2 linked regions of the Nothobranchius furzeri genome follow. The protein of the gene in region 2 purifies or fractionates together with the protein of the main gene of each other region. This does not show direct contact. Links are inferred from orthologs where the notes say so. Each region holds a gene or a part of one and is shown on either strand. Other genes may lie near its edges.

Region 1 (4,879 bases), on a different chromosome or scaffold from region 2:
TCTGCGCTCCTCTGACCAAGGCCTGCTCGCTGTCCCTCGGTCTAGGTGTCGTACCCGTGGGGACCGGGCTTTCTCAGTCCTAGCACCGTTACTCTGGAACCAGTTGCCACCCTCAGTTAGGCTGTCCCCTTCTCTGCCAGTCTTTAAGAATCACCTAAAAACACACCTCCTCCGCTTGGCGTTTCCAGAACATGTTTGATTATGGCCCTCTATTATGTTGAATCCATTCCACAGTTTTCATTGGTACACTCAATCCATCCACTCAATCCAATTGTGTTTCACACATTTGTATTTTACCGGAATGTTTCATCTATCTTGTTATTTCCATTTTGTATTTTGTAATTTGTATTTTGTAATTTGAATTTCTTTTATTGTTGATTTATTCAGTATAATTACTTACAACTGTACCATGTTCAGCGCTTTGGGCTTCCTGACAGGGTTGCGGAAGGCGCTTTATAAATAAAGCTTTGATTGATTGATTGATTGATCTGCCTGTGATGACCAGAGCTACCATTTGCTGACTCTGAAGAACAACAGGGGTCTTGTGGTCCCATCTGAAGGTACTGTGAGGGTCATCAGAGAAGCAGAGTGGGCAATTCGCCAGGCATCGGTGAGCAGATGGTCACAGCCCATCAAACCACTGGAGGTCGTCTACATTGTGCGCAAGAGGATCGGGTCAGAGGATGTCTTTTTGCTTGGGGAGCACATCAGTGAGACACAGCACGGAACTGAGTCTCACTCCCATCCACTGTTGACATCTATTGTCTCCCTGTTCTTCAAGCTGAGGATGCAAGATTAGCAACTCTTAGCTTTCGGTGTGACAGAGTGAGACAGAAGCTCACAAAGCTGTCCTTTTCAAAGGTCAGTAGGAAATCACAATGTGCTTTAGCATCTGTCTTAGATCTGTTATTTTTATAATCAAAAACATGTATAATCTGTAATAAACATGTTTTTCATAACTGTCAGTCTGTCATTCATTTACTCTTTAATTTTTGATGTGTTTATTTAGCCCTTTACTTAATTAACTCACAATTATCCCAGTTTTCTCTTCTCAAACTTTCATTTTAAATGGGTTGCAGGCTGAAAGTGGAAATAAATATAAATTATTATAATAACTTGCCAAAGCAAGTATACATTAGGTTCATATTACCTGCAAATATTAAAGTCAAAGTAAATAAAATATATTCTGTATATCTTCAGTTGTCTTTTTATAAAATATTTTCTCAGTCATTGAGGTTCTAGAGTTGTTTTGTTTTTTGGACTAGGTGTTTAAATTTTGTTTCAAGCTTCTGTGTATTTTTATTTTTTTGTTTTACTATTTTCTGTAAATGAAATCAGGTATTTGAGTTTTTATTTATAAGTTGATTTGGTAAGTTCTAATGTATCTTAAAACTTATATTTATAAGTTGACCTTAGTTTACAAACTACAGCTAGTTCATCAGAAGCAGATCTTATTGACATTAAAACGGTAAGTCTATGGGAAATTGACAGGATAGGGGAAAATGGCTGGAAAGTGGAGTGAAATAAGGGGCGTTTCCTGCTAAAACTGATATATTTCATAGCCACGTCTCTAATGTTTCTAAAAAATCAAACCGTATGAAAATCGGTTGAAAATTGAGAAAGTTAACAGTTGTTTAAATAGTGCATGCACCACTAAACACCAGTTAGAGAAGGGCAGCTGTCAGAAGTAATATGGCCGCCGCGTACGGACGTCAGGGTCCATTGACGAACAGCGCGGGTGAAGGATCTAGCGACAAATGTGATCGATGAGCTCGACATGGGTTTAGACGTCCTCATTATTCAGCGTGGTTAATACATTTCAGAGAACATCGAACGGCATGTGGAAATAAACATGGAGCCACACGTCGGATCGCTGCAGGAGCAGGCTCTAAGGAGAAAGGAGAGGCTAAAAGAACTGAGAAATAAGAAAAGCCATGTAAGTTTCACTCCTGGTGTATAGTACTTTCAGGTAAATATAACACTGCTATTTCAAATCAAGTCGGTCTTTTGGCCACGTAACATTAGAAGACTTAGCGTATAGCTAACTTTAGCTAAATGTGAAGCAAATAAACGAAAACATTGCAAGTCTTGTAACGTTAACTACTCTTAAATATGCTTATATGTCGAAATTGCATTTACATTAGTCAAGTTAATTCTTGTTTTTTACTTGCAGCTAAACGTTAGGTGAATGGTAATTTGCGAAGCTGTCACTTCAGTAAAGTTGACCTTTCCAGCTCAAGAACATCAGATTAGAATGCTATTTCAAAACGTAAGTCACCTCTTTGGTATAAGGGAAAGGTAGGGTGTGTCCGAATCCAGGGGCAGGATGCTTGTGAGGACGGGTCCTTACCGGTTCAGCTAGGTCGGGTCCATGCTCGACCGCAAAAACCGTAAGTCAGCGGCTCTGAATTCGGACAGTCTAGCCTTCACCTCTACGGTGGCCCGTAGGTCCCGTCACAGCCGCGGCGGCAGCTAACACGCAAAGGAAAAATGCTAAAGCTAGCGAACATGGAGCAGGAGCATTAAGGAGCTACAGCAGCTTCACGTCCATCAGCAGCGTTTGTTCACAACCGTTTTCAGGTAAAGTAGTTTTGTTTATTCTAGAAGCTTTCAGGACTTACATGTTAACTTTAGATGGTTTCATGTATGTTTTAAGCTACAGAATGAACTTGTTAAACATACACAACACATTACTACAGAGTATTAACATGTAGGTAATTATTATAAACCAAATGCTTTATAAATGTTGAATGCAGTAGGATGTTTTCTAATGTAAATTGGAACTTAGCACTTCTTTTTTAGCATCAAGTGGGTGTAAACTTTTTAAAACAGGCTTTTGTAAATAAAGTAACAAAAAAGTGTTTTCAATGTGCATTTGTTTATTCAACTTAAGCCTAATAATGATTAGATCTGTCTTAAAAATGTAAATTCTCTGTAGTTTTTATTTAACTATTCCCTGCTGCTTTTCTTTAAACAGAACAGAACCAGTGTACTGCAGGTTATATGTTTGTTTTACATTTTTCAATAAAAAAAACTTTTCTTATCTATTACAGGTCAGCATGCACTGCACATCTGCCTCTGTGCTGGTGAAGATGTGGCCCTGGAGAATGAGACTGAGGAAGATGTTACAGACGATCAGAGGCTGGTATGGAGGTCAGTGGTGCTCTGTCCTGGAGGAGGTACCAGCAGACCACCACTGCTGTTAACAGGCAAGTCATTTATGCAGACCTGCCAAGTACGCAATTTGGCATCTAATTACGCTGGTACGACTCACCCCTCTACGCAAAAAGCTGCAGACACGTGAGTTCTGTAGCGATTATGCACGTCTGGTACTCATGTCTGACAACACGACTCAGCAGCGTGGTGAAGAAGTTTAAGCCAATCATCTTAGAAAAGCGGAAAAGAACAATTCTGCCTGACTTATAGGGTAACACCCCCGCCCCCTCCTCCCTGCTGTATCCTCCAGTTCCCACTTGCTGCTGTTCTGGCGTTTAAAAAAGTAAAGTGTGTGTATGTGTGTCAGATGACTGGACCGGCCTAGTGGTCGCACCCATGGGAGATGCTGATGATTTAACACCCACACATTTTCTAATGAGCAGGTTAAAACACCCATGCTTTACCGCAGTTTAGTTAAAAACCGTTACTATCAGTCCGCTCCCTCCATGTTTCTCGATGTGTTTGCCGTCTCTCTCTCCCTCTCCTGCTGCTAATCAAAGCCTGCACATTTTTGCAACGATGTTACGTCATATTCTGCTCGGTTTTGTTGTTGAAACCCATTTCTCCTACCGCTCCCCAGCGCGCAAGCGGCAAAAACGTGCGCCCTCACTACAAGCTCGCTGCTGCGGTGCGCTCTGCTCACACACAACAGAACTGCTGCCTCCGTGCATAAAAACATCCTTTTTGTGCAAATCAACTTTTGACACTGGAACTAATTCAGTTGTGAAGTTATGTGTACTAACCCTGCTTATGGATCATCTCAGAGATGGATTGTCGATGTGAATATTTATTTGTTTGTTTGTTTATTTATTTTTTAACAAGAACAAGACATACAATTATTACAAAAAGCAAAAAAGAACCATTAGAATTGGCTGGGCTCAAGATCTATGTCAGGTTTAAACCCCTAAGACATCATAAACAACACAAGGAAGGAGATGCAAAAGTCAGAATTCTGTTTTATACTCGAGGAGGATGGAATAAGGTCCGATTAGCCCAGTCTCCACTGGGCCAGCAGATCCTCAAAACCATCCCGCCTTTGAAATCCGAGCGTGTCCTTTTATTACAAGCTGGGCGGGTCCCTAGGTACATGCCTGAGAGCTTACACTGAAGGATGGGGGAATCACAGCTCTCAGTTTTTAGTAATTGTTACAAGTTTCACACAAAGAGCGTTCAGTTTTTCTAATCGGTGTCTATTCACACGATGTGCAACAGACAGTTGCACGATTCAGCAGTAGTCCAAGTCAGCAGATGTCCTTGGGCAACATCAAAATCATCAATATTAGAACCAATAAAAGGCTTGAACTACTTCAGTTATGTGAATGAATCTAATATATATGAAAGTCTAATGTTTATCAGTACATTACAGACAATAATGAACTTTACCACAATATGCTAATTTTTTTAGAAGGACCTGTAGTTTGTGATTTGTGAATCCTTTATTTGGTAAATGGTAAATGGCCTGTGTTTAATGTAACTCCTTCTAGAGTCCTGGAACCCCTCAAGGTGCTTTACAACACAATCAGTCATTCTCACACACATTCACATGCTGCTGGAGGTGAGCTACGATGTAGTAGAGGTGCTGAAAAAAATCAATTCAAGTCTGAATCGAGATTCTTACTTATAAAGGTTCAGAATCGCAGACGTTCCGCTGCTGTTTCTCACC
Region 2 (4,718 bases):
GGCAGAAAATTTAAATTTTAACTAAAATGCACTAAAGTGCTAAACTATTGACTACACGTGTCTGCAGCACGATTAGACACGCATTTGTATAGTTTATCAGAAAAAAAAAGTTGATTTGGGGGTGACTTGCTCTTTAAACATTTATAGGGAACCTTTGGAACAATCAGCAGCAGCTGCTCAGCTGAACGTTGGGCACGAGTGGGTGTGTAGAAACGCAGGTCGGCCAGGTAAGAGGGTTGGGGCAACGCAGAAGTATAAATCAGGCTTAAGGTTGTGTGGTTTGGTTTTACAAGAGTGCAGCGCCAAAGCTCACCATGATCTTTCTGGAGTTCTGAAGATTCTTTTGTCGGATTTCAAACTGAGCATGAAGCAGCCACATCTTAGCAAATGTGAACTGAAAGAGAAGAGAAAGCACGTCACAGCCTGGTGGTGGTGGGGGGTTACATCATGGTGAAGTTCTAAAGACCTTCTTGTGAGGGATCAGCTCCAGACAAGCCTGGTAAACCTGCCTCGTCCTCTCCGGGTCCTGCCGACACATGTCACCGTTACACCGGTCCGTCAGCGCCCTCTGCAGGAACGCTGCAGGACCACTGACCTTGGTCTCCAGCTCCTCGTACAGAGCGTAGTTGATCCACAGGTAGATGTAGCGCCTCCAGTGTCTCTTCTCCTGCAGGGGGGGCACATTGGCAATGGCTCGTTCGTAAACCTCTCTCACCGTGTCGGCGTCCGCATCGCTCTCCACCAGCCGCAGGTAATCAAACCAGGCGTCGTAGTTGTGTGGGTTAGCCTGAAGGACGAGAAGTTGCTGAGTTTGGGCCACACAGCAGAACACCTGCCTCTGCACACCTGAGCCCAGAACCAGACTTCATCTCTGACCTCCAGACAGGTGAAGTACCTTCACTTCCTCTTCGTACTGGAACCTCCGTTTGCTGACGATCACATCTTCGATTCCTCTCCGGTCTCCAAACTTCTTTTCAAACATGGTGTAGTTCTTGAAGAGCTCCTGGGCCTGATGTTTGGGGATTCTGTCCAGTGCGTACTTGTAGATGACTCGAACACGCTCAAACTGTCCAGAACAAGAACAGAAGTAAGAGAATCCACCCAAACAAACCCATAAACAAAGTTCTGATAGCACCCACCTCCTTCTGTGTCTCCTCAAACTTGGCAAAGGCCACAAACAGGTTCTCCTCCACGTGTTCCTCCCCGAAGAACTCCACAGCCCGCTCGTACACCTTCCTGCTGTGAGCCACATATCCGTGCTTCTCCTCGAAGCGAGCGTATTTGATCCAGTTCTTCACCTCCGGGTGAACAAGGACGAGTGAAGACGAGTTAAAGAACTTCCTGTCTGTTCAAAACCACGCGCAGCCCATCAACCACCAGAACCAGGGTTAGTTAAAAACCGGGTCAGAAGGAACAGAGATGTTCTCCAGTACTCTGTAGGATCAGGTTTAAGGCATTATGGGTCTGAATCTGTAGCTGAACCGGGTCACAGATCTTTGGTGTTTTAATTCGAGTCTGACTGGACCTGTTCCGGTTGTTTTTATGGAACGTGTGTTCTAACCCCACCATTCTAGGTTCTACTGGGCTCCAGTAGAAAGGATATAGTGCTCGTAGATGGTCCGGGCTTTGTCCACCTCCTTGTAGCGCAGCTCAAAGTTGATGTAGGAGTGCCAGGCCTGTTCTTCGGGTTCCCACTCCATCCAGCGTTCAAACACCTGCCTGCAGCCAGCCACGTTCCCCAGCATCTCCTCCATGTAGGTGTACTTGTACCTGAGCAGAACATCAAAAACGTTCCAGCACACACGTGAAGGCTCTGACAGAACCCCAAGCTATAGAGTCCTACCAGAACTGGTTGACCCGTGGAAGGATGGTGATAGCTCTGTCCCAGATGTTACGAGCATGATTCACCTGGCGGCTCTTCATCTCCATTTCGGCGTACTTCAGCCACAAAGTGACATTGCGGTGATCGACGTCCAGCGCTCTTTCATAAATGGACCGGGCCCTGAACCCAGATGAACAGTGTTTAAACAACTAACCAGGTTACCTTAAACCTCTAGTTCCAGCTGTGGTGATGACCTAAATACCTCTGGATCTCCTTCAGACTTTCCTCCCACTGAGCGTACTTAATCCAGTTACTGATGATGGTCCGGTTCTTCCTGATGTTGTCTTCAAAAGCCTGAAACACAGTTAGACCAGTACCCATCAGACGTGTTGTTTACCTGTTAGACTAACCCACCCATGGAGGCTACGCTCTCTAAATCACCTTCCTCTTCCTCAGCTTGTAGTCGTTCAGCTCCTCCTTATCGGTGATCTTCTGTTTGGGTGGCGGAGGCAGAAGCTCCAGCTCCCTCTCCTTGGCCTCTCTCAGCAGCTGCTCAGCTGTGATCTGGACCTCAGCAGGAGCTTTGTTCTTCACCTGGAAAGCAACACAATAAGCTTCAGGACCACTCCTCGGTACCACTCCTGTCCTAGAACCAGAACCAGGGTCCGGTGCGATTTTACACTCTTTAAAACCAGAATTGGCCAAAAAGTCTTTCTGCGTTTTACCAGAACATTTGATCGTTTTTGAATTTACAATTTTTTTTTTGTTTTGTTTTTCTGGTTATGATCGATGAGCCGGGCCGGACCAGAACCAGTGAGCTGAAACATTCTAGGGTTGTGCTGATAAATGGCACTTCAGGTCCAGCATGGCAGAACTACTGGACCTTAGCAGTGATGCTGAGATCCCAGGTGACCGGAACATCTGGGGGAACCAAAGCTCCCACACATCCAGGAGCAGCCTCTGAGCTCCCGGTGGAGGACAGGAGCTCGTGTCTCTGGACCCGGGCCATCAGAACAGAACTCACGGGTCACTACAGCTAAACAGTAATGCGTTAGCATTAGCTTAGCCGCTCTTAGCTCCGCGCTCCGGTCCGCTTACCTTCGCCACCTTCGGTATCCGCTGTTTCCCTGCCGCCGTGGAGGCCATGCTGCCGGTGTGTCGGACCAGACGTTCTCTGTAAAATAAAAGGTCCCAAAGAAACGACTGTTTCAAAGCTTAAGCCACATAAACGTTCCGTTTGCTGCTCCAGCCACCATGACAGTACCCACAATGCTCTGCGACTTCCGGTACGTTGGTATAGCAACGGAAGTTACACAAAGGGAGAGAGTAAAAAACTCAATTTTTTGTACCACGTGACTGAAACCCTCCTAGCTGCAGACGTAGCCCCGGCCAAACACCCCCCACCCCCCACCCACCCCGACAAAACACGCCCCCCTGTTGAGATACCCCCGAGCTCAATAACGGCGGCCCTCCCAGCGAACAACACAATTGAAAGAAAATAAATATAGAAATAGTAATAATGTAATTAAACAGACAGGACTCCAGGTTTAAATATGAATGTATGGATTTTTTTGGCCATCCCCAGTGAGATTATTTTTATTTCTTGTATACACACTTCATGGCCATCCCCAGTGAGATTATAAAACACAGATACCACCAACAAATAATCAGTTGCCGTACAATAGGCACAACATACCTATGCTTACTGACGTTAGCAGGTGAGTAATGTATGTGCAAGTGTTTATTTTAAATGCAATAAAATAAAATATCAGAAAAAGTAATTAGTGGTAATCGTTTTAATTAACCCCTTAAGCCCACTGACCCCCATTTTTGGGAGCACGCCTCCTACAGCAACATTTAACTTTCAACCATTTGTTATTACAGGCACTAACAGTAGGTCTAAGTTCATACGAGTGAGTAGTTAATATTTATGTTACTATCTGTGATTTTTTTATTGCTTCTTTACAGTGAAAAGCTGCTGCTGTGTAATTTTTAGGCATATTTACATGTGTATATATGCATTTCATATATTCTGTTAACAGGAATAATTGCTGGCCCTTTCACACAAAATGTATTGATTTAGAAATTACTAAAATATTTTGCATTAAGTATACAATTCACAAGACTAGTAAACTGATATTGACCATACACTAATCTGTAAAGAATATACTGTAAACACAAAAGCAGAAAAGTTTGGCTTTAGAAAAAAAAGTTCTGACAAATGAAACAACCAGCAACAGCTTTTATTGGCCTTACAAATACCTTCCAAAAAATAATAATAATAATAAATGTCCACACATTGCTACAACCTCTTGAAAAATTCAGATGAGTCCAGAGCTTTTCTGATTTTCTCCGAGTATATGAGCAGTTCCATGGCATAGGACATCAGCTGCCTCTCACTAGTGAGACAGAGATAAATAGCAATTAGTAAAAATGACATTTACACCTAGAGGCTGTCATAACCAATGTGAAAACAATACATATAGGAATTAGCACTGTTCTTGTGTTTGTAGAATACCTCCGGGCTACCACATTGCCGTCGTGAGTTTGCTGTTTATTAGATGAGGAGTCATAAACGGTCAAATAAATAGCCTATTGTTACGTTTATTTTGGCCAAAAGGCTTGCATGTAGCCCATTAAAAATTATATAAAAAATTTGCGTCCATAACGTTTTCCCCCACTGCCAATAATGCTTAATTTTATAAAAAAGGGTTTCAGAAAAAAATTACGAAGGCGCTATCTGTCAAACTATGTCTTAAACGTTCAAATTTCTAGTACAAAATCTTTGCAAGTTGGAAAAATACTTCATTCTACACAGAGAAGTACTTCTCTGTGTAGAATTAATTAATCCAGTTTAATCTTCTCCTCCTTCTCCTTCATGATATTATAGTTCCTA

What was found.
Region 1: the proteins of crnkl1 (region 2) and ccdc12 purify together in Homo sapiens (co-immunoprecipitation; 3 studies listed by BioGRID and IntAct, with this or other methods). This does not show direct contact. The link is inferred for Nothobranchius furzeri from reciprocal best matches to the Homo sapiens genes CRNKL1 and CCDC12.

What each region holds. Positions count from the first base shown.
Region 1 is NC_091745.1:33,090,210-33,095,088, forward strand, and holds the start of ccdc12 (coiled-coil domain-containing protein 12), read left to right. Parts: upstream 1-1,623; 5' UTR 1,624-1,852; coding exon 1,853-1,936; intron 1,937-1,942; exon of another isoform or gene 1,943-3,209; intron 3,210-4,879.
Region 2 is NC_091742.1:17,432,996-17,437,713, forward strand, and holds the start of crnkl1 (crooked neck-like protein 1), read right to left. Parts: upstream 3,107-4,718; 5' UTR 2,969-3,106; coding exon 2,921-2,968; intron 2,417-2,920; coding exon 2,264-2,416; intron 2,177-2,263; coding exon 2,085-2,176; intron 2,003-2,084; coding exon 1,844-2,002; intron 1,771-1,843; coding exon 1,604-1,770; intron 1,319-1,603; coding exon 1,140-1,318; intron 1,067-1,139; coding exon 896-1,066; intron 788-895; coding exon 596-787; intron 527-595; coding exon 467-526; intron 395-466; coding exon 314-394; intron 1-313. UniProt on the Homo sapiens protein: Involved in pre-mRNA splicing process. As a component of the minor spliceosome, involved in the splicing of U12-type introns in pre-mRNAs.